Linked DNA regions of Elephas maximus indicus. The protein of the gene in region 1 purifies or fractionates together with the protein of each later gene. This does not show direct contact. Links are inferred from orthologs where the notes say so. Each region holds a gene or a part of one and is shown in the gene's direction. Other genes may lie near its edges. The genes, in order: PRKACB, PRKAR2B, AKAP9 and CDK5RAP2.

What was found.
Region 2: the proteins of PRKACB (region 1) and PRKAR2B purify together in Homo sapiens (affinity purification with mass spectrometry; 7 studies listed by BioGRID and IntAct, counting the BioPlex papers as one, with this or other methods). This does not show direct contact. The link is inferred for Elephas maximus indicus from reciprocal best matches to the Homo sapiens genes PRKACB and PRKAR2B.
Region 3: the proteins of PRKACB (region 1) and AKAP9 purify together in Homo sapiens (affinity purification with mass spectrometry; 5 studies listed by BioGRID and IntAct, counting the BioPlex papers as one, with this or other methods). This does not show direct contact. The link is inferred for Elephas maximus indicus from reciprocal best matches to the Homo sapiens genes PRKACB and AKAP9.
Region 4: the proteins of PRKACB (region 1) and CDK5RAP2 purify together in Homo sapiens (affinity purification with mass spectrometry; 4 studies listed by BioGRID and IntAct, counting the BioPlex papers as one, with this or other methods). This does not show direct contact. The link is inferred for Elephas maximus indicus from reciprocal best matches to the Homo sapiens genes PRKACB and CDK5RAP2.

The regions. Positions count from the first base shown.
Region 1 is NC_064821.1:133,355,846-133,363,818, forward strand, and holds the start of PRKACB (cAMP-dependent protein kinase catalytic subunit beta), read left to right. Parts: upstream 1-4,951; 5' UTR 4,952-5,104; coding exon 5,105-5,291; intron 5,292-7,973. UniProt on the Homo sapiens protein: Mediates cAMP-dependent signaling triggered by receptor binding to GPCRs.
Region 2 is NC_064826.1:42,606,887-42,614,081, reverse strand, and holds the start of PRKAR2B (cAMP-dependent protein kinase type II-beta regulatory subunit), read left to right. Parts: upstream 1-4,195; 5' UTR 4,196-4,280; coding exon 4,281-4,581; intron 4,582-7,195. Other genes in the region: rab11 family-interacting protein 3-like, read right to left, coding at 3,611-3,907. UniProt on the Homo sapiens protein: Regulatory subunit of the cAMP-dependent protein kinases involved in cAMP signaling in cells. Type II regulatory chains mediate membrane association by binding to anchoring proteins, including the MAP2 kinase.
Region 3 is NC_064826.1:61,953,972-61,961,817, forward strand, and holds the start of AKAP9 (A-kinase anchor protein 9), read left to right. Parts: upstream 1-4,844; 5' UTR 4,845-5,060; coding exon 5,061-5,108; intron 5,109-7,846. UniProt on the Homo sapiens protein: Scaffolding protein that assembles several protein kinases and phosphatases on the centrosome and Golgi apparatus. Required to maintain the integrity of the Golgi apparatus. Required for microtubule nucleation at the cis-side of the Golgi apparatus.
Region 4 is NC_064827.1:70,482,771-70,489,597, reverse strand, and holds the start of CDK5RAP2 (CDK5 regulatory subunit-associated protein 2), read left to right. Parts: upstream 1-3,806; 5' UTR 3,807-3,996; coding exon 3,997-4,052; intron 4,053-4,352; exon of another isoform or gene 4,353-6,827. UniProt on the Homo sapiens protein: Potential regulator of CDK5 activity via its interaction with CDK5R1. Negative regulator of centriole disengagement (licensing) which maintains centriole engagement and cohesion. Involved in regulation of mitotic spindle orientation.

The DNA.
Region 1 (7,973 bases):
GTGCCACCTTTTCCATCACCATAAACAAAAAATGACTATTACCTAGGGGATACTTTTCTAGTTACCCCCACTCCCACCCCTCATAACCACTAATGAACATTGTTGTGTGCCCTTGGTTAGCAGTGAGTGCTTAACATTGTACCACTAGAGCCCCTTCAGTGAACATTGTTGTTGTATGCCATCGAGTTGATTCTGACTCATAGTAACTCTATTTATTAGTCTCTCTCTCTCTCTCACACTCTCTCTCTCACTCTCTCTCTCTCTCTATATATATATTCTTTTACCGAAAACCCTGGTGGCTTAGTGGTTAAGTACTATGGCTGCTAACCAAAGGATCGGCAGTTCAAATATGCCAGGCGCTCCTTGGAAATTCTGATGAGTCAGAATCGACTCACTGGCACTGGATTTGGTTTTCTGGTTTTTATATATTTACCTATTCTTGTTATTTCATAAAAATGAGAACATAAAATATTCGTGCTTTTGAATTGACTTATTTTGCTCAACGTCATGCCCTCCAGTTTCATCCACATTGTGGGATGTTTTGGGAACTCATTTTTCTTTATCTGTGAATAGTATTCCATCGTATGTATGTAACACATTTTGCTTGCTATTCATCCATTGATGGGCATTTAGGGTGTTTCCATCTTTTTGCTGTTGTCCATAGTGCTGCAATGAACATAGGTGTGCATATGTCTGTTCGTGTCACTTGTATTAGACCTCTAGGAGTGGAGTTGCTGGATCATATGATAGATCTATTTTTAGTTTTTTAGGAACCACCAGATTATTTTCCACAACCACTGTACCATTTTGCCTTCCCACCAGCAATAGATGAGGGTTTCAGTTTCATCACATCCTTGCCAGTGTTTGTTATTTTCCTTTTTTGTTGTTGTTGTTGTTTATCTTAGCAATCCTAGTGGGAGTGAAATGGTATCTCATTGTGATTTTGATTTGCATTTCTCTGATGGCTTGTGACCTTGAGCATCTTTTCATGTGTTTGTTGGCCATTCGAATACCTTCTGTAGTGAAGTGTCAGTTCATGACTTCTGCCCATTTTTTTGTATTATTTGTCTTTTTGTTAAGTTTTAGAAGTTTTACATATATTTTAGATATTAGATCCTTATGGGTTATATTGTTCCTGGAGGTGTTTTACCCAGTCTATAGGTTGTCCTTTTACTCTTTTGATAAAGTCTTTTGATGAACGTAAGTATTTAACTTTTATGAGGTCCCAGTTACCTATTTTGTTTTCTGCTGCATGTGCATTCCTTGTGTTTGATAATCTATCATTGCAAAAATTTAGGTCCATAGCTTTGCTTCTGTGTTTTTTTCCAAGAACTTTATGGTTTTAGATTTAACGTTTAGGTCCTTGATCCATTTTTAATTAGTTTTTGTACATGACATTAGGTATGGATATCGCTTCATTTTTCTGCATGTGAAATCCGGTTTCCCCAGGACCATTTGTTAATAAGACTGTAGCTTCCTCATTGAAAAGATTGGCTTCTTTGTCAAAAATCAATTGACCATAGATGTTTGGATTTATTTCTGGGTTTTCAATTCAATTCCATTGGTCTGTGTGTCGATGATTAAACCGGTACTAGGGTGTTCTGATTATTGTAGCTGTTTAATATGTTTTGAAGTCGGGGCTATCTGAATGAAAAAAAATTCCATAGCAGATTCTTAGACCCTGGGCAATATATTCGAAGACTGATTTCTCCCCATTCACTCTCCCACCTTTGTTTGAAAATTTCTGCATTTAAAATTTTTTTATTTCTTTTTTTTGGTAATCAGTATTGGGCAGTACAAAGAGTCCTGATTCCAGGAATTTTGAAGGCCTAGGTGACTTTGGGCAAGCCACTTAATGTTTGTAAGATTTTTTTTCTCAACTTAAAATAAGAGTAATATTACCTGTCCTGCTTACTTCATTGGTAAGGATCTCATGAGCTGTGGAAACCACTATGGGTTGTAAAGTGTTTTTGGCAAATGTAAGGGATCATTACTATTATTAAATATAATATACCATATTTTGTGATATCTGTTGGCAATCAAAGCAGGTTTATCTCTGAAAATTGCCATAATTTCTGTAATTAATACAGTATGAATAATAAGGAATGTATACTTATGATTACTCTCCAGTGGTAAAAATGATACATTGTTTAATTACAGTCTCTTAGTAGATAAGCTATAATATTACAGCAAATTTTGGGTGCGTAGTTAGACATTTTAATACAAATTAAGATTCCGAAAATACCATCAGGAAGAATAGCAAGCATACTCAAGGTTAATGTGAATTTTGAAGGGATTCATAGTTTTAGTTAAAACTGTAGTTGTTTCTTTCTAGCAGTAGATGCCAGTAGAGTTCTTTTTTTTTTTTTTTCAATAAATAAAATTCAAACTGCCTAAGGACTTCCACAGCAACAGCTTCCTGGTCACATTACCATATATAGAAACATTACTCTAAGGACTAAATATTCTACTTTCTATAAGGACTTTTTAACAAATGGAAACAGCCTTTTTGAAAAAGATGTACAGATTTCAGATGTAGTTTAGAGATACTCATCTAATGCTTTTTTTTTTTTTCTATTGCAATTACTTTTGTTGTAAAATTTATATGTTATTTTAAATAATCTTAGTACTAGTTAGGAATCTGGAATTTCTTATACTTAACTCAAGCAATTTTGAATATAAGCCTGACTAGACATTTTGTGTTAAAAATGAATAAGACGGTGCTGAAATACTAGGATTAGTTTGTGCATTTGGCAAGGGAATAACATGAGCGTAATATTTTGGAGAGATTAATACGGCAGAGGGATGAATGATTGAAGGGGGTGACTGTAAGCTTAGAAATCCACAATTTGCCCTAGTAAAAATAAATGAAAATGGAACTCAGAATGAATACAAAGTAGTAACTCATTGAATATTGAGTAAAAGGAGAAGTTTGATGATACTACTTTTATTACTGTAGTCTTTATATATGAGAAATTTATTGCTTTCTGGATTATTTACAAATAAAATCCTATCATAAATAAAATTAAAGCATTTTCAATGCTTGATTACTTAGACCATGTTTTAAGTTGTTGAAAATGAACTTATACTTCATTCAGTATATATTTTATTGAACATCTAAATATATTTATTGAGTACTTAATGCATGCATTGCTTTTATGAATTCAAGTAACTCAAAATTTAGGAAGGCATAAATTCATAAATAGCAAATTTTAACATAAATGACAAGATCAGTGGAAAGAGCGGAGAGAGTGATTTATTTTCTCTTGGAAGCATATGGAAGACTTCACTGAAGAGGTGATATTTGCGGTGAGCCTTGAGGATGAATAGAATTTCCGTCAGGAGAAATTCCTGAATTCAAAAGAATTCAGCAATTTTATCTGCTTCTGCCCACACGGAGTCAGCCTGTGCTCTGTAGATGTTTATTAAAGTCTACAGACACTTATTCAGTATCTGTTTTGTGTAAGACACTGTCAGACACGAATAAGCAAATTATGTATTACTGTTCCGAAACGCTGGTGGCCTAGTGGTTAAGTGCTTGACTGCAAACAAAAAAGTCAGCAGTTCAAATCCACCAGGCACTTCTCCGAAACACTGTAGGGCAGTTCTACTGTGTCCTATAGGGTCATTATGAGCCTGGATTGACTGGATAGCAATGGGCTTGGTTTTGGTATACACATACATAATATTCATATAGAGCTACAAATTTAAAAAGTTTAGTCTTACAGATATTGCTGCCTATTTTTTAGAGTGATACTAATTTTACCTAAAAAAGTGTACACAAATGAGCTGTTGCTTTGCAAAGTCACTAGTGATTGCTTCCTTTGTGCGTGTGCGTGCGTGTGGGGAGGGTTGTAATTGGATTACATTATTTTTCCTATTCTATTTGTTATTATTGTCCCTATTTATTGTATTTCTCAAAACAGTTGGCAGGAAATCTGGACTAAGATAGTTTCTAGATTTTTTAAAGATATTTTTCTTTCTTTCTCTCTTTTCTGTAGTCCTTATTACAGCTTCCAAAGACAAAAGCACATACATTTCTCATCCTTTAATTTGTTAGTCTCAGAAGACAGGTGCTCAAAATCATTGTTAAATGCCACAGGTACGTGCCTTTTGTTTTCCTACAAGGGGACAATGGCAAATTTTATTTACTTTTAATAGGAGGAGATGTCTCTAAATGAGACCACTAAATGAGGGATCAGGTAAGCAGCAGTCCTCAGTGTTAAGTTTTTAAAATAAATAGGTCTCAGGCCACTCTCAGTCAGCCAGAAGGAACTGTTTTCTCCTGCTTGAAATCTCTTGCTATGACTGATTTTAAATCTTAAATATTTTCTTTTTCCAAATTTTACAATGTTTTTAAAATATAAAAACTCGTCAGCAGATTATAAATTTGATGAACAATACTGACATCCTCACTTTCTGTAGTTCCTGTATACATTACGCTTAAGTGAATGAGTTAGCAACATTCAGTTCTTTTTTTTTAAGTGCTAGTTCAGGTTTTTCCTTAGTTACGACATATATGTCATAAATTTGTTTTGTGAGAGTTTTATCATATCCATTCCATACCAGTTTTGTTGTAAAGTTAACTGTTGACAAGGATGCCTGAAATCTGTATGTTAGCTGATTTCCTGGAAAAAATAAAACCTTTCTTTTGAACATGGTATATTTGAAATGTGGCTTGGGCCTCTGTTGTTAGCATAGGGTTGTAATATATGTTTAACTATTTTTCTTTTTTTCAGCCTACTGTGTATATATATATATTTTACTGTATATATAAGTCCTTATACTTACTGCTCTCATTAACATGGGTTAACATTAAAACACTGTTAATTTAAAGCATTGTTTTGTTTTATACATTTAGGCAGATATTGCAGGGTTTTTTTTTTTAAATCACCATCTCTAGTTAGATATAAAGACTTGTGCTAAGAAAAGCTTAGAAATGTGCTGTTTTATATTAACAGGAAACACAACAGCAGTAGTAATTTGAATACCCTGCAAACAGGAAGTTTGACACATGCATAGCTTTCAGCTTCAGTGTAAGAAGTTGTTGAGCTCCTTCTGGAAATATTTTTAGTTGCTTTAAGTAAAGCGTAAATGCACGTGAATGGCAGCTTATAGAGAACTACCTTGTAACCAGCATACAGGTACAACTACTGCTCTTCAGAAATTGGAAGGTTTTGCTAGCCGATTATTTCATAGACACTCTAAAGGTGCTGCACATGATCAGAAAACAGCTTTGGAAAATGACAGCCTTCATTTCTCTGAACATACTGCCTTATGGGACAGATCAAGTAAGTTTTGTTTTATTTTTAAGTGATACATTCTAATTAGCAGCTAAAACAGTAATTGGAGATTTAAAATCAACCATATAAAGACCATGTTTAGTTTGTCTTTTAATAGTTTCATAGGACATTCTGCAAGATAAAGTTGAAGGAATAAGTTTCAACTTTACTGTAAGTTTAGCTGAATCATGTAGTTATATGACTAAGTTGATTATCAGTTGAAAAATTTTCTTCAAAATTCTGACATCATTTCTAGAGTACATTACCGTTTTTGGTTTTAGTTTTATTTTTGGTCTTGTGTAAAATGAAATGCTTAAATTTTAGAAACGATAGTTTACTTTTTAAAAGTATCTCTGATTCATAAGCCTTAAACTTCAAAAGAGACAAGAAGACTCTTGAATTTTTAAATTTCTATTGTGCTTGATATCTTTTATTTTTAAATGCTCACATGAAAGTTATTTCAGTTTAACAAGCAGGGTTTTCTAAAGTAAAAGCGTAGTATGATTATTCTATGTGAAATCTCACATAACATTATGAATATCTAAAGCTTCCATCATGGTATTTTATGTAATTTATACTTACGGCTAAAGGGAAAAAATGAGTTGTTTACACATGCATCACATTTTTCTAGGCATGTTAAAAATGTTTGGAATTACTGCACTGCTGACACAATGATATGAAACCATTTTTGGTGACATACATGTTAAAAGATAAATTTCACATATAACAATACCAGTGCCTCCATTCTGCATTTCACCTTGTACCCTCCCCAAGGTATTTTTGTCACTCTGACTAAAGGAACAATAGAATCACCCTTGGTACTCTTGCCCTTTTTATTGTGTTTGTTTGGTCATCAAATAGCACTAGGTTTTGCCTCTTTCATTTATATATTCCTCAGCAGTTAAGGAAGATAACTCACTTAAAAAAAAAAAAAAAAGAAAGAAAAACAGTTTCAAAATTTGCTTCTTGGTTTATATAACACATTCATAGTGCTGTGAAAGCTATCCAAATTATTTTTTACTACATTGGGGTTTTTTTTTTTTTTCCTTACCTTCTTCAAACTGTCTAAGTGAGAAAATGAATAAGAACATATATTTGCACAAAAATTGTTTTCACTCCAAACAGTCTGGTCGTTATTTATAGTTAGTTCTTACTATATACCAAATTGACAAATGAAGAATTTCAATATTTCCAAGTTTATGAACTATTAAATATTGAGTTAACAGTACATTATCAAAATTTATCATGTAACACAAGTTTGTTGTTCACTCTGTTTCCCCTATTCTGTTAAACTGCCGTCCCTAAGCCCTTTTGGAAATCATTTTTATGCATTTCAAAGATCTTTTAATCTAAAGTTAAATGAGAGATGAGGATAGTATTGAGTTAATTTGTTTTACTAATACTGTTCCTCCATGATAGGCATTTAATAAGTGTATCTTAAAAGAGACTGTCTTGGGGTTTTAATAATTAATAGTTATGTTTGAACGACACTCTCACCATTTTTTAAATGTGTGAGGCCTGTGATGTTTTCTGAATACACATTTTAAAGTCTAGCAATGGAAGATGGTATCATGAATCATGATTTCTTTTGGAAAAAACATACATATTGATAAAACGCTGTTAACATTTTTTTCTTACTCTAAAGTCACAAAGTAACATAAATAGGATCATTGCGCCCAAGTAAAATCGGGGGCGAACCTTGTAACCCTGCAAATAATAAGCATAAACCAAAAAAAAAAAAAAAAATCCATTGTCCCAAGTCGATTCCTACGCGTAATAATAGACACAGTGTAGGAAATACTTCGAGTAACTCAGTGTTCATTAACCAAGTATTCTTCCACTTTCTGCCTCCTCTCATATCCCAAAAGATCATTAATACCCATTGCCGTCAAGTCGATTCCAACTCATAGCAACCCTATAGGACAGAGTAGAACTGCTGCATAGTTTCCAAGGAGCACCTAGTGCATCCAAAGTGCCAGCCTTTTAGTTAGCAGCCATAGCACTTAACCACTACGCCACCAGGGTTTCCAAAGATCTTATTAGACACAGTAATTTTATATATGTAAGGAATGAGCACAGTATGCATGGAGCGCTAGTTTCCTATTATGGACTGTGTTGATAGAGAAGAAAACACTGATAGAGTAGAAACAGAAGAATCCTATTATTTCACAATTCTAAGGTTTATTTTTGTGGTTCAGAACACAAATTTTTCTAAGATTTATTTTTATGGTCAGAACACAAATTTTTATTCATTTTTACAGTCAGATGTGGAAAGAGTTTTGACTGTATGAAGTTTGCATACAAACCACATTTTTCAAAGGTACTTAAAGCAATTTACTGGCATGACTTGTTTGACAAGAAGAAGGAATGTAATATCTCCTGATGATAAACACTCTGAATATGTTTGTTCTAAAAGTGCTATTTTAAGAAATCCACTAAGCACAGAAGCTGCATGTAAACCTTTTTTAAAAAAATTAGTTTTATGAACTATTGAGTAAGGATTTATTACCATTTTAGGCAGATGTGAAACAGTAACAAGCATTAGTCCAAGGTTCTTTCTTTTTCAAGGAAAATGTAGATAGGAAGAGATACAGAAAAAAGGCCAAACACATAGTGGTTTTTAGCTGCCTTTAATGTGTTTCATCATTTACTACTAAATTAAGTAACAGGAATTCTTGTTTCATAACAGAT
Region 2 (7,195 bases), on another chromosome or scaffold:
TCTACAGTCCCTATGTTTGGGACTCTTCTTCTTGTTGAAGAGGCAGACTGTCAAATTTTTATACTACCTGGCCACTTCTAATCTGGCATCCCACTGACCACACTGACCTCTCAGGAGAGGACCCCTCATTCAAAGTCAGCCAATCCATTGGATGGTGAAGACCAACTGGCTTCTCTCTCTTGAGAATTTGAATTAGAGACACCAAAGTGCTAGTCAGTGCTGAATTCCTAAAGGTATATGAAACTGAGATTGACTGCCACAGTGGTCTCTGTGCAAGCACAGCCCTGTGTATCCTTTCAATTGCCTACCCCTGCTCAAGTGCATATATATATATATTTTTGTACTTAAGATACATCTTAACTGTTGATATGAAATGCTGCATAATTGACTAGTTAGAGTTATTACTGTCCATTGTAAAGCTTGCCCAAACCATTGGGTTGCCCACGCTGTGGTCTTGTTTTGGCAGCTTCATATAAACAAGCTGATGTCTCTAATATCTGTTTAATTTCCCATGAGTGGAAACAAATTTTGTAGTACTCTTATTTCATTCTTAGCTCTTGCAGTTCTTTTGCAATTGCTTCCAGTCTGCTTCTCTGAGAAACTAGCACAAATTGCTTTGTAAATCAACAACCAAAGAATCAATACCAGTGATGTTCTTTTAAAGAATTCAAGATGAATAGTCCCATAAACCACTGTCATTGCACTCCAAGGTTCAAAAGGAAATATGCTGAAAACGAAAGCAAAGGAAATCTTATACAGAAAGGTTACGTGTGAGTGAATAAAAGTCAAAATATGATTTGAGAAGTGAATGTTCTGAGAACAGTATTAACATAATCAGAATATCAGGATCAACATTTACTTCTTCAGGTCATAGTTGTGGATCTAAGAATTTATGCGAATAAAAATTGTTATCAGACAGCTGTTTACAAAGATATTTTAAATTCAATACGCCTTTTAAATATTACAGGCTCTCCTAGGCTGGGAGAGACCATTGTTGTTACTGTTATGGGCCATCAAGCTGATTCCGATTTATAGAGACCCTATAGGACTGAGAAGAACTGTCCCACAGGATTTCCTAGTCTGATATCTTCACAGAAGCAGGTTGCCAGGTCTTTTCTTCCAAGGAAAGGCTGGTGGGTTCGAATACCTGACCTTTCAGTTAGCAGCTGAGTGCTTAACCACTGTACCACCAGGGCTCCTGGAGAGACCATACAGGTTTCCAAGGAGTGGATGGTGGATTCGAAATGCCAACTTTTTGGTTGTCAGTGAACTCTTAACCAGGGCTCCTATATAGGCCATATAATCCAATTATGAATTTCATGATTAAGTCACTTACATAGTCCTAAAGAAATAACAGTCACACCACCCTGACACTGTAGTTGATGGCAGACAGCCATTTACTAGTTATCATACACTAAATCTACAAAAAGGAATAAAAGCCGTTTGAAACACAAAACGTAGCCTACAACTTTGACATCTGGTTCTTGTAACTGTTTGGAAAAGTAGTGGTTTTTTCTTCTGTCATTCCTGGGCGGGGGAGGGGGGAAGGGGGGAAGGTGTTAAATATTGAGCAGAGATGGATAATTGTTCCCCAAATTGGTTTTCTTTAACTCTCAAATGTTTGCTGGGCAACTGACTGCTCAAAATAAAGATTACATTCCCAAACTTCCTGTATAGCCATGTGTTTTAGTTACTTTTGCCGTGTAACAAATTACCTCCAAAACGTGGAGGCTTAAAACAACTCTTTTGTTATGCTCATGGGTTCTGTGGGTCAGGACTTCAGACAGTACACCATATGGCTTGCTCCTTCTGTCATGCTAGCGTGAATTCAATCACGTGCTATTGGTCAAAGCAGTCAGAGGCCCATCTAGCTTCAAGGGGAGGGGAATTAGACTTCAACTCTTGATGCGGGGGAACAAGAGCAGATATAGAAGAGCAGATGATATAGGAGATAATGTAGCCATCTTCGGAAAATGCAATCTACCACACCATAGGTGCGGCCACGTGACTAAATTCTGGCTAACAGGATATGAAGGATTGGTGTGCTTAACTTCCCAAAAGTGTCCCTTAACTGTGCGCGGTAGAGGGGGAGTTCCCTTTCCTTTTTCCACTTTCCACTTGGCTGAAACATACATGAGAAGAACGGAGGTAGGTGGCCATTTTGGACCACGAGGTACAAGACACAAATGAGGTTTACAAAACAAAGGAGCCTGGGTCCTTGAAGATCATGGAGTCACCATACAACCTCTGGACTGCCTACATTTACATTACAGAGAAATAAATTTCTGGTTTGTTTAACCCAGTGCCGTCGAGTCGATTCCGACTCATAGCGACCCTATAGGACAGAGTAGAACTGCCTCATAGAGTTTCTGAGGAACGCCTGGCGGATTCGAACTGCCGACCTCTTGGTTAGCAGCCATAGCACTTAACCACTACGCCACCAGGATTTCCTCTGTTTTGCTTAAGCCGCTGTATTTTGCATTTTCTGCCACATGCAGACAATGCTAATCTTAATACAACCATCATCATAAATGAAAACTAATGATGCATATTCATCTTAGATAACTGGATCTGTAAATAAAATACTGCTTACATGGAAAAGAATTTAATACTGTTTTCCAAACAATGACATGTGAGGGTCATGGTATTCTATAAAAGCTTATTTTTAAAAATATTTGACACAATTAGAAGCACTTTAGTATATTTAAAAACCAACATAACATTATTATTATCAGATTGATAAGAAATGGAAATATAGAAATATTCACTGAGAGTGAATACAATTTGGATTATAAAGAAAGGAAGGTTAATATCAAGATGCATTTTTTTAAAGGGACTACTTTGTTGCACCTTGCTTTTCAGTCTTTGAGTTTTCTGAGTTATGTATTTACCCTTTTGGATGGGTGGAAACATAAACCAAAACGACTGAGTGAGGTTGCACTTGAATTATTTTTTTTTACAGTGATATGGTGGCCAATGTAGAAATGAAGTATGTGTATTTAAATAGCAAAAGACAATTTTCTCTAATTCAAAATTGTAAACGCTTGCAGAATAAGCCTCATATCAAAATCAAGCACTTCTACTTTAAAAGCACACATTTTAATACTATTTCTCTTTGTACTTAAGTATTCCTATTTTTGGAGATATAATTCAATTATTTAATATAATTCAAAATCACTCAAACTGTAAAGGAAAGTTTTTTAATAAACAGAAGAGGCTAATCAGGCAAAGCTTTTTTTTTTTTTTTGCCTAATGACCACCTGTCCTGATTATGACATTTTATTCAAGTTGCTGTACTATCCTGTTTGCAGGGCATCCCTAGCTTTGGTAAGTCTCACGATAAATGATGCAGTTGTCTCGGTGTACAGTAGTAAGTGCTTCGAGAACACAATGGAATAGTATCAGTGAAGCAAAAAACAAAGTAAACGGGAGGGATGGGGAAAAGCTGGATAAAATGAGGTGAAAGGAAAAATTAGAATGATGTCACAAGGATGATGTATTATTTCTTTGTCTGAAAGAGAACCAACACCACTCTATGAACGTAAACAAAAGATATTACCAACACTTATCAACACAACTAGATTCTAGGAGGAAAACAAAGCGCCACTACCGAGGTGGAGGCTGAGGTTTCAGGGCAACTCGCGTGGCAGCAGCTCTGCGCGGTTCGCGATGGTGGATGCCGTGTGGGAATTCGGGCGCGTGGACTGTCCGCTCTGGGTTTGGGGACGGGGGCGGGGGGACAGCGAGGCCTCCCTCGCGGGAGCCCCGGCAGCGGCGCCGACCGGCGGCCTCTAGGCCGGTGCACGTGCCGGCAGCGCGCCTCCGGGCCCACCAGCGCCCGCCAACGTCCTCCGCCCGGCGGCAGTCCGAGTGGCAGGAGCGCGGCGCCCGTCGACTGCGTTGCCATGGTTTCCGGGGTCACGTGGGCGCGCCGCGGCGGGGCGGGGGCGGGGCGGCCCGGCTGGGGGAGCTGAGGCGGCGGCGGGAGCGGGAGGAGTGGAGATGCTCCCAGCCCTACCCGGGCCGCGCTCGCTCAGCCGCCGCCGCCGCCGCCGCCGCCGCCGCTGCAGCTGCCGCACGGAGCAGCCGCTCGCCGGGAGCCGCGGGCCGCGCTAGCCGGGCGGCCGGGCCCCAGTGCGCCGCGCTCGCCGCTGACAGCGCTGCCGGCGCCCTCCGCGCTCGCTCGGCGGCAGCGCGGCCGAGGCCGGACTCGGGAAGGCGCGAGGGCGGCGGCCGCCCGCGCAGGGCACCCCGGGGACTCCCGCCGCCCCGGAGGCAGGATGAGCATCGAGATCCCAGCGGGGCTGACGGAGCTGCTGCAGGGCTTCACGGTGGAGGTGCTGAGGCACCAGCCGGCGGACCTGCTGGAGTTCGCCCTGCAGCACTTCACGCGCCTGCAGCAGGAGAACGAGCGCAAAGGCGCCGCTCGCTTCGGCCATGAGGGCAGGATCTGGGGGGACGTGGGCGCCGCCACCGGGGGCGGCACCCCCAGCAAGGGAGTCAACTTCGCCGAGCAGTCCGTGCACACCGACTCCGAAAACGGGGAGGAGGAGGAGGCCGCGGATTCAGGGGCGTTCAACGGTGAGGTCCGGACCCCATCCCCGTGCCTCCTGGACCCCCTCGCCCCCGATTGCCATACCCCGCTTTGCGCTTTAATCTTGGAGCTTGCCTTCCCCATCCCTCTCCGCATTCTCTACCTTTCCTTCCTTCCCATCACGCCCACCCCCTCAGCATCCATTTCTGTCTCCCACTCGCCCACCTTCCTACCCGCGTCTTGCCCTCCCTCCTTCTTCTCCTGGGGAGCTGGGGGAGCTAAAAGGTTACTGTTCTCCCCGCCCATCTGCCCTCTCTCGTTCTGGGCACCGAGGCAGAGGTGGCCCGGTTTGGAGTGGGCATCTGATAGGAAGACAACTTTCGCTGTGGTTTAACATACTGCTCTTGACGGATAGCATTGTGCATAAAGGAAGTTGGCCCCCTTGGCGTTCTTTTCTGCGCTTGTATTTAATGGAGTGTCCAAAGAGAAAAGGCGAGGGCTGTTACATTTGATTGGCTTTATTGTTGTTATGACGGTAAATTCACCAAAAGGAGCATGAAATTGGAACTCGCTGGGGCAGAACGAAATTTATGGTAATAGCTTTGACATTCTTGGAAACAAAGTAATCTATTATTTTCCAATTTACCAATACTGTGCTGTGTTATTTCTGTACTCAGAAGAAAGGATCCTACTTAGCCTGCAACCCATGGGGCCTTTGGAAAACGGGGTAATGATCTGCTTTTTATTTAAAACACATATTGAATGATTTGGTGCCTTTTTTTTTTTTTTTAAGTGTGTGTGCAAAACACTGTAGGAAGTTCTGAAAGCTTGTTGGTTGTCTTTAGAACGAAAAGCGAGTGAGTAATTGGACTGTGCCAGACTCCAAAGAATGAATGGGAAAGAAATAATAATTTTTTTCAAGTAGCTGCTCCTGGCAAGTCCCTCCCCTTATGCTTACAACCCTGTTTCGTCAACACACACACACACACACACACACACACCCCTGTATTTACACAGCACGACTAAATCCCATCTTTATGGCATCTCAGACTAAAATACTATGGTGTGTAAATGTGCAAGTGTGTTCTCTTTGTGGTGTAAGGCAAACATACAGGCAGCGTTGCACCAGCTTTTACTTATTTACACTGCTTGTGGTTTGTGTGTCTGCAGCGCGTTCCATATAATGAAAACGTTTTAAGGCGTCATTTCGTTTCCTTGTATATGCGACTATGAAAGTGTTTCTTTTCTTCACAGAATTACATCTTGTAATGGGTTTTAAAATTAATGTAATTTTAAGTTGTCCAAAGTGGTTAAAAAAAGAATATATATATATATATATATATATTTTAAAGTGGTTACACAAATCCTGGAAATTAGTGCTTTGTGAAGATAAAAGGGAAGATTGTTACTGAACATTTTTAATTTGGGGCTCCTAGTGTTTCCCAGGATATTTTTTTTAGTGTTTCCCAGGATAGAGTAATCATAGTCATAACTTTTTTTTTTTTTGCACAAGAATTTATCAAATGCATTTCTTACTAAAAACAAGAGGATAAAAGAGTATACATTTTAAATAGATGGGCAAGAGAAGCCAATAATGCATGATATGGAAAGGGCAGAGGCATGTTATACTGTACTTCTTTTATGCTCTTGATGTGTCAGTGCACACCACACACAGAAAAAAAGAGCTGGCTCCCCAGGTTGGAGGAATCTAGGAATTAAGGGACTTGGTAAAGAACCTAGATATGTTGGATATATTGTATTGTTAATATAGCTAATAATACATTGTGTAATGCTTTTCAAGTGCTTTGAATTGATGATTCTGTTTTATCCCTTATAACAATGTATATTGTGTGCAGAACAGATTTTATTTCCATTTTGCAGAAAAAGAAACAAGCTGTTAACTTTTAAATAGCAGGGATCATTTTATGTTTCTTCTCCAAGACACTTTTAGTGTAAAAATTTCTTAATGTGAGTTTATTTATTTGTCGACCCATCGTACTATTTATTCCCCAACCCTACTCCCGGCAGATTTTAAAACTTTTGAGTGCACCCCATATAATTTGGTCATGATTCAGTTCACACGTGTGTATATATATGTATAACTGAATCTTTGGTAACAATATATCTCTCTAGTAGGTACAGTGCTTTCTGATATCTTCTGTTTTTATTAATTTTCTCTTACTAAAAAGAAAAAAAGTCACTTGTGTTTACACTCGCTGTTTAAAAAACAATTATAGGCTCCAAAGGGTAGATAAACTTTTTATAAAGGGCCAGGTAGTATTTTGAGCCATATATGATCTTGGTCGAAGAGTCTTGTTTATTTCTTTTTACATCCCTTTAAAACTTGTAAAAACTTTTTTACCTCTGGGTTTGGGGTTGTATAAAACTGGCTGCAGACCAAAGCCATTGTTTGTCCACCCCTGGTCAGAGGAAAAAGAACAGTGCCACTGGGGAAAGAATAATAAGACTGAGCCTAGGAAATCTGATCCTATCTTTTTGATATCTATATCCAGAAATGTGCCAAAATACTAATATTTTGGATATTCTTCTATCATAGTAAAGAACAATTACTGGAAGACAAGTCTTACTTTACTGTGACATAGAACAAGACCTGCTGGATTAATATTTCTTAAATTTTAGTATGCATGGCAGGGAAGTTTG
Region 3 (7,846 bases), on another chromosome or scaffold:
ATGATACAGGAAGCACCAAAATAAGATGGAAGGAATACACAGAGTCACTGTACCAAAAAGAATTGATCGACATACAACTATTGGTCAACCTTTCAGGAGGTAGCATATGATCGAAAACCGATGGTACTAAAAGCAGCAGCCCAAGCTGCACTGAAACCATTGGCAAAAAACAAGGATCAAGGAATTGATGGAATACCAACAGACGGATGCAATGCTGGAAGCACTCTCTTGTCTATGCCAGGATATTTGGAAGTCAGCTACCTCGCCAACCGATTGGAAGAGATCCATATTTGTGCCCATTCCAAAGACAGGTGATCCAACAGAAACATTTGCAGCTGTACATCAACAAGGACCTGCTAGAAATTCTAGCCCAATTCAGAAGAGGACCCAGAACAAGGGATATCATTGCTGATGTCAGATGAATCTTGGCTGAAAACAGGGAATACCAGAAAGATGTTTACTTGTGTTTTATTGACTATGCAAAGACATACAACTGTGTTGATCATAACAAATTATGGATAACATTGTGAAGAATGAGAATTCCAGAATACTTAATTGTGCTCATGCAGAACCTGTACATAGACCAAGAGGCATTTGTTGGGGATACTGCATGGTTTAAAATCAGGAAAGGTGTATGTCAGGGCTCTGTCCTTATACCACATTTATTCGATCTGTATGCTGAGCAAATAATACGAGACACTAGACTATATGAAGAAGATCATGGCATCAGGATGGGAGGAAGACTTATCAACAACCTGCGATATCCAGATGACACAACCTTGCCTACTGAAAGCAAAGAGGACTTGAAGCAATTACTGATGAAGATCAAAGAATATAGCCTTCGGTATGGATTACACATCAACATAAAGAAAACAAAAATCCTCACAACTGAACCAGTAAGCAAAACCACGATAAATGGAGAAAAGATTGAAGTTGTTAAGGATTTCATTTTGCTTGGATCCACAATCAACACCCACGGAAGCAGCAGTCAGGACATCAAAGTACAAATTGCATTGGGCAAATCTGCTGCAAAAGACCTCTTTAAAGTGTTGAAAAGCAAAGAATGTCAAGGTGAGGCCTAAGGTGTGCCTGACCCAAGCCATGATATTTTCAATTGCCTCATATGCATGAGAAAGTTGTACAATGAATAAGGAAGACCCAAGAAGAATTGATGCCTTTGAATTATGGTGTTGGTGAAGAATATTGAATATATCATGGAGTTCCAAAAGAATGAACAAATCTGTCTTGGAAGAAATATAGCCAGAGTGCTCCTTGGAAGGAGGATGATGAGACTTAGTCTCACGTACTTTGGACATGTTATCAGGAAGGATCAGTCCCTGGCGAAGGATATCATGCTTGGTAAAGTAGAGGGTCAGTGAAAAAGAGGAAGACCCTCAATGAGATGGATTGACACAGTGGCTGCAACAGGCTGAAGCATAACAAGCATCAGGCAGTGTTTTGTTCTGTTGTACATAGAGTGGCTATGAGTCAGAACCAACTGGACAGCACCTAACAAGAACAACAACAATCTTTACGGAAGCCGACTGCCCCATCTTTCTCTCACAGAGCGCCTGGCAGGTTTGAACCACCAACCCTTTCAGTTAGCAGCACAGCGATTTATTCACTATGCCTCCAGGGCTCCAGGAACTCAAGGCGATTTCCTTAAAAAAGGGTTGTAAGCATAGTGGGTACTTAAAGTTTCACAGACTCTTGGCTGAAACAGAAGAGACACTTAAGGATTAATTACTTGATATTTCTTTTCATATTTAAACTAAATGTATTTTTACTGTAAACACTATATGGACCCTTGATACAACTCTTTTGGGGGCTCACTTAGTTTACATTCCATGACTGTTTGGCAATATGAAAATCCTTCAAGGTGATGTCAGTATATATTTTATTACTCAGTAATCCAGTGCAGTGTCTTGAATTACAGGTTTATAATTCCTTATCATGATAATAGTAACATCTTAGATTTTTTTAACAGTTCATTAGATTATAAGCCACTTCAAATGTGTACTAGTTTCCTAAGTCATGAATTACATTTTCAAAAAATGTTATTGTGGCAAAATACGTATAACAAGTTTGTCATTTTAACCATTTGTAAGTGGACAATTCAGTGACATTACATTCAATATGTTGTGCTACCTTCACCACTTGCCGTTTCCAAAATTTTTTCAGCACACTAAAGAGAAACTTGTAAACCCTGGTGGCGTAGTGGTTAAGAGCTATGGGTGCTAACCAAAAGGTCAGCAGTTCAAATCCACCAGGTAGTCCTTGGAAATCCTATGGGGCATTTCTACTCTGTCCTATAGGGTCACTATGAATTGGAATTGACTAGACGGCAATGGGTTCGTGTTTTTTTTTTTTTTTTTTTTTGGTTTTAAAGAGAAACTCAGTACCTCTTCAGCAATAACTGACTCCTATTCCCTCCAGAACAGGCAAATTTCTATGCATTTGCCTATTCTGGATTTTTCATATAAGTGGGATCAGAGAATAATTTGTCCTTTTGTGTCTGACTTATTTCACTCAGTATAATGTTTTCAAGGTTCATCCATGTCAGAACTTCATTTCTCTTTATGACTGAATAATATTCCATGGCATGTAGGTATATATCACATATTGTTTAATGGACACTTGGGTTGTTCCTACCTATGCATTATTTTTTGAAATCTTAACACCAACAAATTTGTCATAAGTGTTATTTAACACATTCTGTTTTTGTATGCATATTTTTATTCTAGTACTCATTTTGTTTGGAAAGCAGTTTAGTAAAATGGAGTAAGACTTGAGTCAGGAAGTCTGGATCTTAATCCAGCCAGGACTTTTGCTACCCAACCATGGGAAGTCAAGCAAGTCATTTTAAATGATTAAAATGACCATTCAGGCCTTCATAAAATATGGAAGAAAAATCACTATGCTCCCTCCTATTTTCTTTATTTATATACCATTGGTGCCCTGGTGGTGCAGTCATTAAAGAGCTAGGCTCCTTACCAAAAGTTTGGCAGTTCAAATCCACCAGCTGTTCCTTGGAAACCCTATGGGGCAGTCCTACTCTGTCCTGTAGGGTCACTATAAGTCAAAATTTATTCAGCAGCAACAGGTTGGATTTTACATACCATTCACCTATATTGTTGTTCTTAGGTGTCATCAAGTTGGTTTTGATTCATAGTGACTCCAGATGACAGAGTAGAACTGCCCCATAGGGTTTCCTAATCTGTAATTTTTTTTCTTTTTACTGGAGGATCCCTGGTGGTGCAATGGTTAAGTGCTCAGCTGTTAACTGAAGGGTTCTTGGTTTGAACCTTGGAACCGCTCCTTGGGAGAAAGAAGTGACGATCTGCAGTGGTAAAGATTGCAGCCTTGGAAAACCTATGGGGCATTTCTACATGGTTCTATGTTGTTGTTGTTGTTAGGTGCTGTTGAGATGGTTCCGACTCATAGTGACTCTATGTACCACAGAGGAAAACACTGCCCAATCCTGTGCCATGCTCACAATCCTTATGCTTGAGCCCATTGTTGCAGCCACTGTGTCAACCCATTTCACTGAGGGTGTTCCTCCTTACCACTGACCTTGTACTTTACCAACCATTGTGTCCTTCTCCAGGGACTGATCCCTCCTGATAACATGTTCAAAGTACGTAAGATGCAGTCTCGCCATCCTTCCTTCTAAGGAGCATTCTGGTTGTACTTCTTCCAAGACAGATATGTTCATTCTTTTGGCAGTCCATGGTATATTCTGTATTCTTCGCCAACAACATAATTCAAAGGTGTCAGTTCTTCGGCCATCTTTATTCATTGTCCAGCTTTCACATGTGTATGATGCGATTGAAAATACCATGGCTTGGGTCAGGCACACCTTAGTCTTCAAGGTGACATCTTTGCTCTTCAAAACTTTAAAGAGGTCCTTTGCAGCAGATCTGCCCAATGCAATGTGTCTTTTGATTACTTGACTGCTGCTTCCATGGCTGTTGATTGTGGATCCAAGTAAAATGAAATCCTTGACAACTTCAATCTTCTCTCCATTTATCATGACGTTGCTTGTTGGTCCAATTTTTGTTTTCTTTATGTTAAGGATTTTTGTTTTCTTTATGTTGAGGTGCAATCCATACTGAAGGCTGTGGTCTTCGCTCTTCACCATCAAGTGCTTCAAGTCCTCTTCACTTTCAGCGAGTAAGATTGTGTTATCTGCATATTGGAGGTTGTTAATGAATTTTCCACTAATCCTGATCCCCTGTTCTTCTACATACAGTCCAGTTTCTTGTATTATTTACTCAGCATACAGATTGAATAGGTACAGTGAAAGGATACAACCGCCAGGGCTATCACCACTTTTCCTCCGGGGATTTTCAGCGTTTATCAGTTTCACCCTGGTGGCACAGTGGTTGAGTGCTAGGGCTGCTAACAAAAAGATCAGTTGTTCTAATTCACCAGGCGCTCCTTGGAAACTCTATGGGGTGCAGTCCTATTCTGTCCTGTAGGGTCTCTATGAGTCGGAATGGACTTGACGGCAACGGGTTTTAAAAGCGACCACTGAGTCCGTAGGACGGCGAATGGGGGCCGGGCTGGGTACCCTCTGTCAGACCTCGTCCTCACCCCACCCACCCCCAACCCCGCCGCAACCTGGGAGCCGTTCATCCCTGGTGAGGACCAGGAAGGTCTAGGGTCGGGAGGGCGCCGTCTCCCGCCCGCCCCTCGCCGGTAGGTGGCGGGGGTTGCCGGCCGGGGTCGCTCCCAGGGCGGCGCGCGGCTCAGGGCCGCGGGCGCACCTGCCTGGTGCGGCGAGGCTCGCGGCGGCTGCGCGGACTGACGTGCCCCCCCTCCCGCCCGGCCGCGTGTTTACGTGGAGACGAAGATGGCGGCGGTGGTGACGGCGCTGCCCGTGCGGTCGAGGACTACCCACCAGTGAGCGCGGAGACTTGTTCGACTCGGGGCGGGGAGCGCTGGGCCCGGCCCTGCTCCTTGGGCCCCGGAGCTGGCCGGGACCTCCGTCTGAATCGACCTTTCCTTTCTACCCTCGATCCCTTTCCCGTCTTCCCCCACCCTTCTCCGCAGAGGCCATGGAGGACGACGAGAGACAGAAGAAGCTGGAGGCCGGCAAAGCGAAGGTAGGAAAGCCGGGCGCAGCCGGGCCCGCGGTGGGAGGCGGCGCCTGGAAAGGGGTGGTGGAGGGGAGCCTGGGAAGCGGAGATCGCAGCAGCCCCAGTGCGCTCGCTGCCTGGGAGGAAGGTGCTGCAGGGTCTTTATTTCCCCCCGCCACCCTCTCCCCTTTTTCCACAGGAGAAAAAAGCCCTGTGCTACCATCTAGCAAATTAAAAAAAATGCTTCCGTAATGATTGGATCGTGTGGCTCTTTCTCGTGAATGCGCAAATGAAACGCCTCTTTTACTATATTGCTATTAGCTAGTATGTATTGCCTCTAAATCTCCAGCTTTTCACTCTTTTAGGTTGTTTTCTGGGTGGTGCAGGCATTGTGCTTTTCTGGGTGGGGATTTGGGGCTTTATTCGGTGGGGGATTTGTGCGCTGATCATCAGCTTGGCTTCTTTAGGTGGCACGCTGGCACTCTTGGGTGTGTGTGATTGGCCTGTGACAGCTGCCACAGCAGTGGCTTGAGGGTGCCACAAGTGCCAGCTGTGAACTTCGCTTTAGGGGCGTTTTTAGAAGCGTGCTTTATATGTTTGCGTTTGGAGGTCTTTGTCATGGCATGCGCTTTTGTATTGTGTGGAATGTTAATGCAGTCTGTGAATGGAAAGATTCCATATCCTCAGCAATAGCTATAGAATTCCTGCTTTAAATACTGTTTTAACGGTTTGTTGTGTTTGTCTGGGTGAGTCGCGATTGTGTGTGTGTGTATGCATGTATGAAAAAGCCTGTAAAGAACACAGTATAAAACTATAAATATATCACTCATTGGGCATCATGAAAAAATTGACATAGACAAAATAGAAATTAAATAGCATTTTTCTTTAAAAAATTACATGTTTGAGCATATCATTTGTCCTCAAAGGTCCTCTTCTCCCTACAATGGAGCTACCTTTTATAGATTGTTTTAACTGTCTTATTGGAGGTAATTGTTAGCAATCATGATTGAACCACAGTTAAATTATAACATAGTTGGCTGTTTTTTGTTTCTTCCTTCTCTTCTCCAAATAGACAAACAAAGGAAACCTGGTCAATGGTTTTGGTAATCAATGAAGAACCAATACTGCAGAAATGCATTAGTTAGATGCTCAGCCAAATTTGTTAATGAATAAGTATGTGAGCTAACTTCCTATCACTACAATATAGTTCACTTTTTCACATGTTCACTCTAAGGTCAAGGCTTAAGGAGCTATGGTGGCACAGTGGTTCGGCTGCCAACGGAAAGGTCCCTGTTCCAATGCACAGGCCCCTCTGCAGGAGAAAGATGTGGCAGTCAGTCAGCTTCTGTGAAGAGTTACAGCTTGGTGAAGCTACTTGCAGAGATCACTTTTCAGCCAAATAATAGACAGGCCTGTAAAATAAACAGTTAACACCTGTGAGGAATGTGCTCCTTAGAACAACCAACTATATGAGACTAAAAAGAGCAGCATTTGCCCAAAAGCAAAGAAGGGGAGGCGGGAAGGGGCAGGGAAGCCCAACGCATGGAAACAGGAATCCAGGGTGGAAATGGGGAGAGTACTGACACATTGTGGGCATTGCAACCAAAGTCACAGAACAATTAATGTGTGGATTATTGAGTGGGAAACTAGTTTACTATGTAGACTTTCACCTAAAGCACAATAAATTTATTTATTTTTTTTTTTAATTTAGAGCTTAGAAACCCTATGGGGCAGTTCTACTCTGTCCTGTGGCATTGGGTTTGGTTTTTTGGTTAAGGTCAAGGTTTAAGTGCTTATAGGTATATGAGTAGATTATTATTTTAGAATCTATAAATGGAGGGAAAGAGGAATCAGGTCATCTCCAGAAGCCCAAAGTTGATTATATTTGTAAGCAACCTGAGGATCTGAGCAAGCTCTATGCACCCAAGGAAGTGGGACTTAAGTGCGTGCCCCCTTCCAAAAGCGTTGAAGTTCTATTTAGACTTAATTATTGAATCTTGTCTTTTACCTCAGAATTTTTACTGTCTGCCCCCAGAATTATCTTTTCTAATATATGTGAAGCAGTCCTATACAACATAGTTTACTTTGGACAAAAACATCTCAAAATAGAGGACTTATAGTATGGTTGATTTGGCAAAATAGAATTCTAGTTTCTGTGTATACGTGTGTTGTCTTTCAAAATTCTATCTATTGGAGTAAAAATCTTTATATTTCAACTTTAGTTTTTACTGTACAAGGTTATCTTTTTGAGTTGAGCCCAATATTTCTGTTGAGAAGTAGATCTGTGAAACTTGTCAGGCAAGGTATGTTTGCAACATGAGCTTTACAATATAAAAACACTGGAAGCAACCTTCAAAGACAACATTAGGAGATTTTCTAAGTTATTTATAAATGCAGTGGGATAGCTTGTAGCTTTAAAATATTATGAAGACTGGAACATGGAAAATAGAGTGAAAACAGCATTATCAAAAATAGTGTATACATTAGTATTTTAATTATATAATAATGTGTGCTTGCAGATTAGGACCAAAAGACTCTTTTATAAAGGAAAAGCAAATCAGCAAATGTTGAAGTCCTGTCTTATACCAAGGGATGGAAATAGAGAGGTGGCGACACGGTCCCTGCTCTCAAGAGACTTACAGTTTAGCGGGAGAGACAGACCTTGTGTAATAAGTACAATGACAGAAAAGGTGCATTAGGATTTTGGGTTATTTTTTTCATTTGTGAGAATGTGTTAAATGCCGCTACCTCATCTTTAAGAATAT
Region 4 (6,827 bases), on another chromosome or scaffold:
GTCCTCAATCTGTCCTTGCACCTGAACATCACTGATGTGATTCAACATCCCCACCTCCAAATAGGGATGTGGGAGGGCTAAGGGCAGAGAGTTCCAGGCACCAACCCCAACCCCCAGACTCCATTGGAAATAGAAAACTCCCCAACCCCCTCAGACAGTGAACACGTGGCCTTATGATCAATAGACCCTGCATTGCTCCTTGTCTGTGCAGACAATAAATCTCCACCTTCAGTTTCCCTTGCAACTGGTGGTGTGGCATCTGTCTTATTTCGTTTGGCTAATAGGACAGGACAAGAACCCTCATTTTGTTACAGGAGCAAGTTATTTTTACCTCTTTGAGCCCCAGTCTTCTCATCTGTAGGTACAGTGGGGAGAATAGTAGTACCTACTCTGGAGCTTTGTTGTGAGGTTAAATGAGGTGGTACATGTGGTATGTCTGGCGTAAGTGACACATAGATGCTCAAAATGCGTGAGTTCTCTTCCTTATTTCCTTTCTCAAAAGCTTTCATCTGCTAAGTGAAAAGCTAGTTCCTTCATTTGGGAACTGATGATTATTATTCTCAGCCTCTCTCATCAGAATAGAGTTGGTTCATATAGCTGCTGCCAAGTAGGCCCCTACCTCACGATGACTCTGTGCACAAAGGAATAAAACACTGCCTGGTCCTGTGCCATTCTCATGATTGACTGCAGATCAAAGAAAGCATTGTGATCCATAGGGTGTTTTTTTAAAATTTTATTTACCTTATTTATTTTTTTAAATAATATTTCATTGTGGTTTTAGTGGTGATCCATAGGTTTTTAAAAAATATTTTATTTACTTTATTTCTTTTCCTTTTTTTTTGTTGTACTTTAGATGAAGGTTTACAGAACAAACTAGTTTCTCATCAAACACTACCTTGTTGTATGACATTGGTTAACAACCCCACGACATGTCAACACTCTCCCTTCTCAACCCTGGGTTCCTTATTACCAGCTTTCCTGTTCTCTCCTGCCTTCCAGTCCATGCTCCAGTGCTGGCACGCCCTTTTAGTCTTGTTTTGTTCCAGGAGCCTGTTCAATCTTTGGATGAAGGGTGAACCTCAGGAGTGACCTCATTCCTGAGCTGAAAGGGTGTGCGGGGACCATACTCTCAGGGTTTCTCCAGTCTGTCAGGCCAGCAAGTCTGGTCTTTCTTTTTGAGTTAGAATTTTGTTCTACATTTTTCTCCAGCTCTGTCCAGGACTCTCTATTGTGATCCCTGGCAGAGCAGTCAGTGGTGATAGCTGGGCACCATCTAGTTGTACTGGACTCAGTCTGGTGGAGGCTGTGTTAGATGTGACCCATTAGTCCTTTGGACTAATCTTTCCCTTGTGTTTTTAGTTTTCTTCATTCTTCCCTGCTCCCGAAGGGGTGAGATCAGTGGAGTATGGCCACTCAAAGGCTTTTAAAAAGTAGAATGTAGAACATTTTCTTTATAAACTATGTTATGCCAGTTGAGCTAGATGTTCCCTCAGGCCATGGTCCCCACAGTGCTTGGCCCAGCAATTCGGTCCCTCAGGGAGTTTGGGTGTGTCTATGGAGCTTCCAAGACCTTGCCTTGGACAGGTTGTGCTGGCTTCCCCAGTATTGTGTACTATCTTACCCTTCACCAAAGTTACTACTTATCTGTTGTCTATTTTTTAAAAACATTTTATTTATTAAAAAAAAAAATTATATTGCAATTTCACTGGTGATTCACTGGTTCATTTTAAAAGTAGATCTCCAGGCCTTTCTTTCTAGTCCATCTTAGCCTGGATGTTCCACTAAAACCTGTTTAGCATCATAGCAATACACAAAACCTCCACTGACAGAGAAGTGGTGGCTCCACACGAGCTGTACTGTACTGGCTGGGAATGGAACCTGGGTCTCCCATATGGAAGGTGAGAATTCTACCACGGAACCACCACTGGCCCCTAGTCTTGTGTTAAAAAAAACAAAACCCATTGCTGTGGAGTAGACTCCAACTCATAGTGACCCTATAGGACAGAGTAGAACTGCCCCATAGGGTTTCCAAGGAGCGCCTGGTGAATTCAAACTACCGATCTTTCGGTTAGCAGCCCAGCTCTTAAACATGGCACCAACAGGCTTTGTGTTAATAGCTCTGAAATAAACACAGAAAAATAACCTCTAGAGCTGTGAGGTCCTGAGAGGCCCATCCAGTCCAACCTTCTCATTTTAAAGATGTTGGAAACTGAGGCCACAAGAGAAGTGGTCTGCCAAAGATCACAGAGAGTCCATAGCAGAGCCAGGATAGGAACCCTGACACCCCAGCTTCCCTGCTTTTGGAATACTCATTTCATCCATTGAAATTAACACTGGAAAGGAGTGTCAGTTCCAGGGCTTCAAGGAATGCCCCTTCTCTGGGGCAGGGCATAAGTGCTGTGCCATCTAGTTCCTGCCCAACCGTTTTTTGTTTTCTTATTGCTGATCATGGTTGAAGGCCTGGGAAAGATCAGGTGCAGAACTGTGGGCCTTGTTGTCCTCAACAAGAGACAGAGAGGGAGGCAGGAGGAAGGAGAGGAGGGAGAAGAGAGGAGAGAGAAAACAGAGAAAATGAATGAATGTGGGATTACCACTGACTGACCTCCAAAAGATACTCAGGTCATATGAAAATCTTGAAGGATAGGTGTTAGTCCCATTTTCCATATTTATTGACTCTTCATCCACTTAACATATATTTAAAAACCCCTACTAGGTGGCAGGCACAATACTAGGTGATGGGGATATAGCAGTGAACAATTCAGAATACAGTTCCTGCCCTCATGCAGCTTCCAGTTTAGTGGAAGAGGAAGACATTAAAAACACACATAGCAAGTGCTACAAAGGAAGAATATGGGTTTCTAAGAACATCCAAGAGAGGGACCTGATTTTGATTACAGGATCAGGGAAGGCCTCTTTTAGAAAGTCACACTTAAATGCAAGAATGAGGAAACTGGGGCCAAGAGGGGACTTGTTCATGGTTGCAGGAAAAGTCACCGTCCATCCACGCACCTATCTTTCCAAATGGTTTTCATCCAGGACTCTTTTAACAGCCTGCAGAAGAAGGTAGCAGCACTGAGACGGGAATTTCGCTGGACAACCATTACCGAAATTACCTAGGTGTTTAGTGGTTATTATGTACTTTAGGAGAGGCAGCAAGGGATTATGGAGAGCCCTGATTTAGTTGGTAGGAGCTGAGGATCTGGTTCCAACTGACAAACTTACTGTGTATGACTTTGGGTAAGTCATTTCCTCTCTCTGGGCCTCAGTCAACCGATCTTAGACATGTCTGAGCCCTAAAGGCAACAAATGATCGCTAGGTAAAGGATTGGAGTGCGAGTGTAGCTAACCATTTGGCTCACAGGGATGAGTTTATTTGCTTCAAACTAAGCTTGCAAATTACTGTTTGAGTTGGAATTCCACATGTAGGATTTTCTAACACGAGGCAGTACCCGATTATTTGAGTTTCAACTCAAGGCAGAAGCCGTTTGGATGCACACACCTCAAGCTTCGGGTACCAGGTCCAGAACCCTGTGGGTTAGTAGGGCCCTGTATTCGCATATCCCGCTTAAATTAACGGATCAGGGGCAGCTTCGAGCCCTAAATAAAGATGGCGCCTGCGCTGGCATAGATCTGATTGCCCTCATAAAAAATGGCAGCTGGCCTCTCTCTGCCTAGCCTTACTCGCCCAAACGGGGGGGGGGGCTCTGCCCTTAGTTAAGATGGCGCCTGCTTGCGCGTCTCTGCCCGGCTTCTGGCTCCGGACGGCTGGCTTCACTGTGCACGCCCTGGTGACTCCGCCTCGTTTCCGTAGGAAGAAGAGCCGGGAATGATGGCGGCGGCTGCGGTTTGAATTCCGCGGCGCCGCCAGAATCCGAACAAGAGCTGGGTCGGAGAGGGCGGGGACCTCGGGGACTCGGGCGGGTCGCGCGACAACGAGGGGGGACCAGTGAAGCCGCCACTAGAGACATCAACGCCACCACCGTCTCTGTGTCCGTGATGGACTCGGCGTTGGAGGAGGACGTCACTCTCCCCGGGACTCTCAGCGGCTGCAGGTGCGGCCCGGGCGCTGGTGGTTCGCGGTAACTGGGCTGGTTTTCCAACTGATGGGGGTTTGCTCTAACCCGGCCTTGGGGGTTTGCTCTTGGGGTGTTTGAGCATCTCCGGATAGAAGCCGTGTGTTGTTTGGGTTCCTTAGGGTATCTCTGTGAGGGGCCCACCAGCTGATACTGTGTGTGAGGGTCCCGACCACAGCTACCTCTAGTATTTCAGAGTCTTAATTTGAGGAGGCTGTGAGGCACCAGTAAGGGGTTTTCTGAAAGAGCAGGAGGAGGGGGCCGTTAGTAGGGGCTGGTTGGGGGATGTGGCGCCCTCAGCAGGGACCTTGAAGGGACTTGATGGTTCATTCTGGTGTGGGGGTTTGCTTTCATTATGGGGAGTGTAATCGATACGTCCAGTCTTTGTGCATAGGGCGTTATAGTGGCCACCCAAGATTGAGGCAGTGGAGTGCAGTGGTTGAGAGACTGAACTGGAGTTGGGCAGATTTGGATTCAAATCCAGCGCAAATCCAAACTGACTAGCGGTGTAACCTTGGTAAAGTGCCAGTAATCTGCTTTCCCATCTGTAAAATGGGGATAGTAGTAATATCCACCTAACAGGATTGCTGTGAGGATTAAAAGAGATGATGCCTGCCCTGCAGTTTGCTTGACAAGTCTAGTGCCTGGCACATAATTAGTGCTTAAAAAGTGATCGTGTGGTGCCGTTATTATCGTTAATAATAACACAACTTGGGGAATAATGGCCAAGACTGGCCTCCCAATGGACCTGGCCCAAGAGGCTTTTGGAGTCCACGTTGTTTGTTGCTGGAGCCATGGGTCTCACCTTCTGGTAGGAAGGCCTGACAGCTCTGAACTGCATCAGGTCTCAGGCTCCTGATTGGAGAATGGGTAGAAGGAAATGGACGAGAACCTGAGTAAGAACCTTCAGTGTTTCTTCAGCTCTGCAAGGAACAGGCTGCTGCTTTTAGTTAGCAGGTCTTAATTGAAAGGTGACCATGTAATTTATTGTGCAAACCAGGATGCTTCTAAGGGCACTGTTGATATTTATGCTGGGACAGCAGGCGTGAACAGGTCCTATCTTGGGCAAACCTGGAAAAGTGGTTATGCTGTTTGTTGAGAGCCTACTGTATATCAGGCACAGAGCAAGGCCCTTTGCAGCTGCAACCTGATTTCATCCTTTTGGTAGTTTTTTATTCTCTATCTTACTGTAACTACCCCAACATATTGGGGTATTGCCTGTCACCTGGATTGTTGAGGCCTCCTTCACACCTCCAATAGTCCTTTATATTATAGCCTAAAAACTCTTAAAAATGTAAATCTGCTTTTGACAGTCTGCTGCTTTATGCTTGTTAGTCCTTCTCATTGCCCTTAAGGTAAAGTCCATTATCACTCTCTCAGACAACTCTTCTCAAGACGGTGCTGCTGGTCAAGTACTTTGGCTTTGGGACCCAAAGTAGTCTGGATTTCAATCCTAGCTCTGCCACTTAACAGCCCTGGGACCTTGGGCAGGGCATTTGCACTCTGTGAGCCTCAGTTTTCATCATCTGTAAGATGGGCTGGTATAAATCCCAGGGTTGGTATAACGATTAAAATGAGTATGAAGGGGCCTAGCCCAGTGTGCGACCCAGATCAGCAAATGTCCTCGCCTCCCTTCTCTCCTTGCCGTTGCCCGAAACACTCCTGGGTCTCTTACTAATCTCTTACTTCCCTGCTTCAGACCCCCACTGACTACTCTCTGCCCTGAGGGTATAGTTTTTTAATACAGCTTCCAAGGGTTTCATAATCTGGCCCTGTCTTCCTCTCTAGCCTCCTCTACCCTTACTCTCCCTACCCTGACTTCTCCCCACACTGCCAAACTCTTGGTTACGAATGATCTTGCCTTTTCCTTTCTTGCTGCTAGGCCTGTGTGCTTGCTGATCCTGCTGCCTGGATTGTCCTTCCTTCTTCCTTTTGCCTTATCAATGCCTGTTTTTTTTCAGGTCTCAGTTTAGATGTCGTTGCCAGGAAGACTTCATTGACATTTCCCCATCCCCACCTGGGCCTTCTACTCTTTTAGGCAGTCCCACCCATAATTTACCCTATCCCAGGCCTTATTTACTTCACGGAATTTTACTGACCAGCACTATGCACTGGAAACATATGTGAGCTATATATGTAACTTAAAGTTTTCTGGTGGCCACATTAAAAAAGAAACAAGTAACATTAATTTTAATATATTTTATTTAACCCAACATGTACATATATTATCATTCTAACTTGAAATCAGTAGAAAAAATTATTAATGAGATGTTACATTCTGTCTTACTAAGTCTTTGAAATCCAGTGTGTATTTTACCCTTATAGTACTTTGCAGTTTGGACTAACCACTTCTCAAGTGCTCATTGGCCACATATTGCTGGTGGCTCCTGTACTGGGCAGCACAGTTATCGACTGTTAAATGGCCCGTCTCCTATATTATCCTGTGACCTGTTTGAGAATAGGGACTGCATTTTATATAAACCATGGCGGTGTAGTGGTTAAGTGCTACAGCTGCAAACCAAAGGGTTGGCAGTTCGAATCCGCCAGGCACTCCTTGGAAACTCTATGGGGCAGTTCTACTCTGTCCTATACGGTTGCTATGAGTTGGAATCGACTCGACGGCACTGGTTTTTTTTTTTTTAATACATGTAATAGGGGTTCAGTAACTCCTTGTTGAATCACCGAATAAACAATGCTCCTTTGAGGTGACAGTGTAATCCCCCTTTTGCAGTTGAGGACACTGAGGCTAAGAGT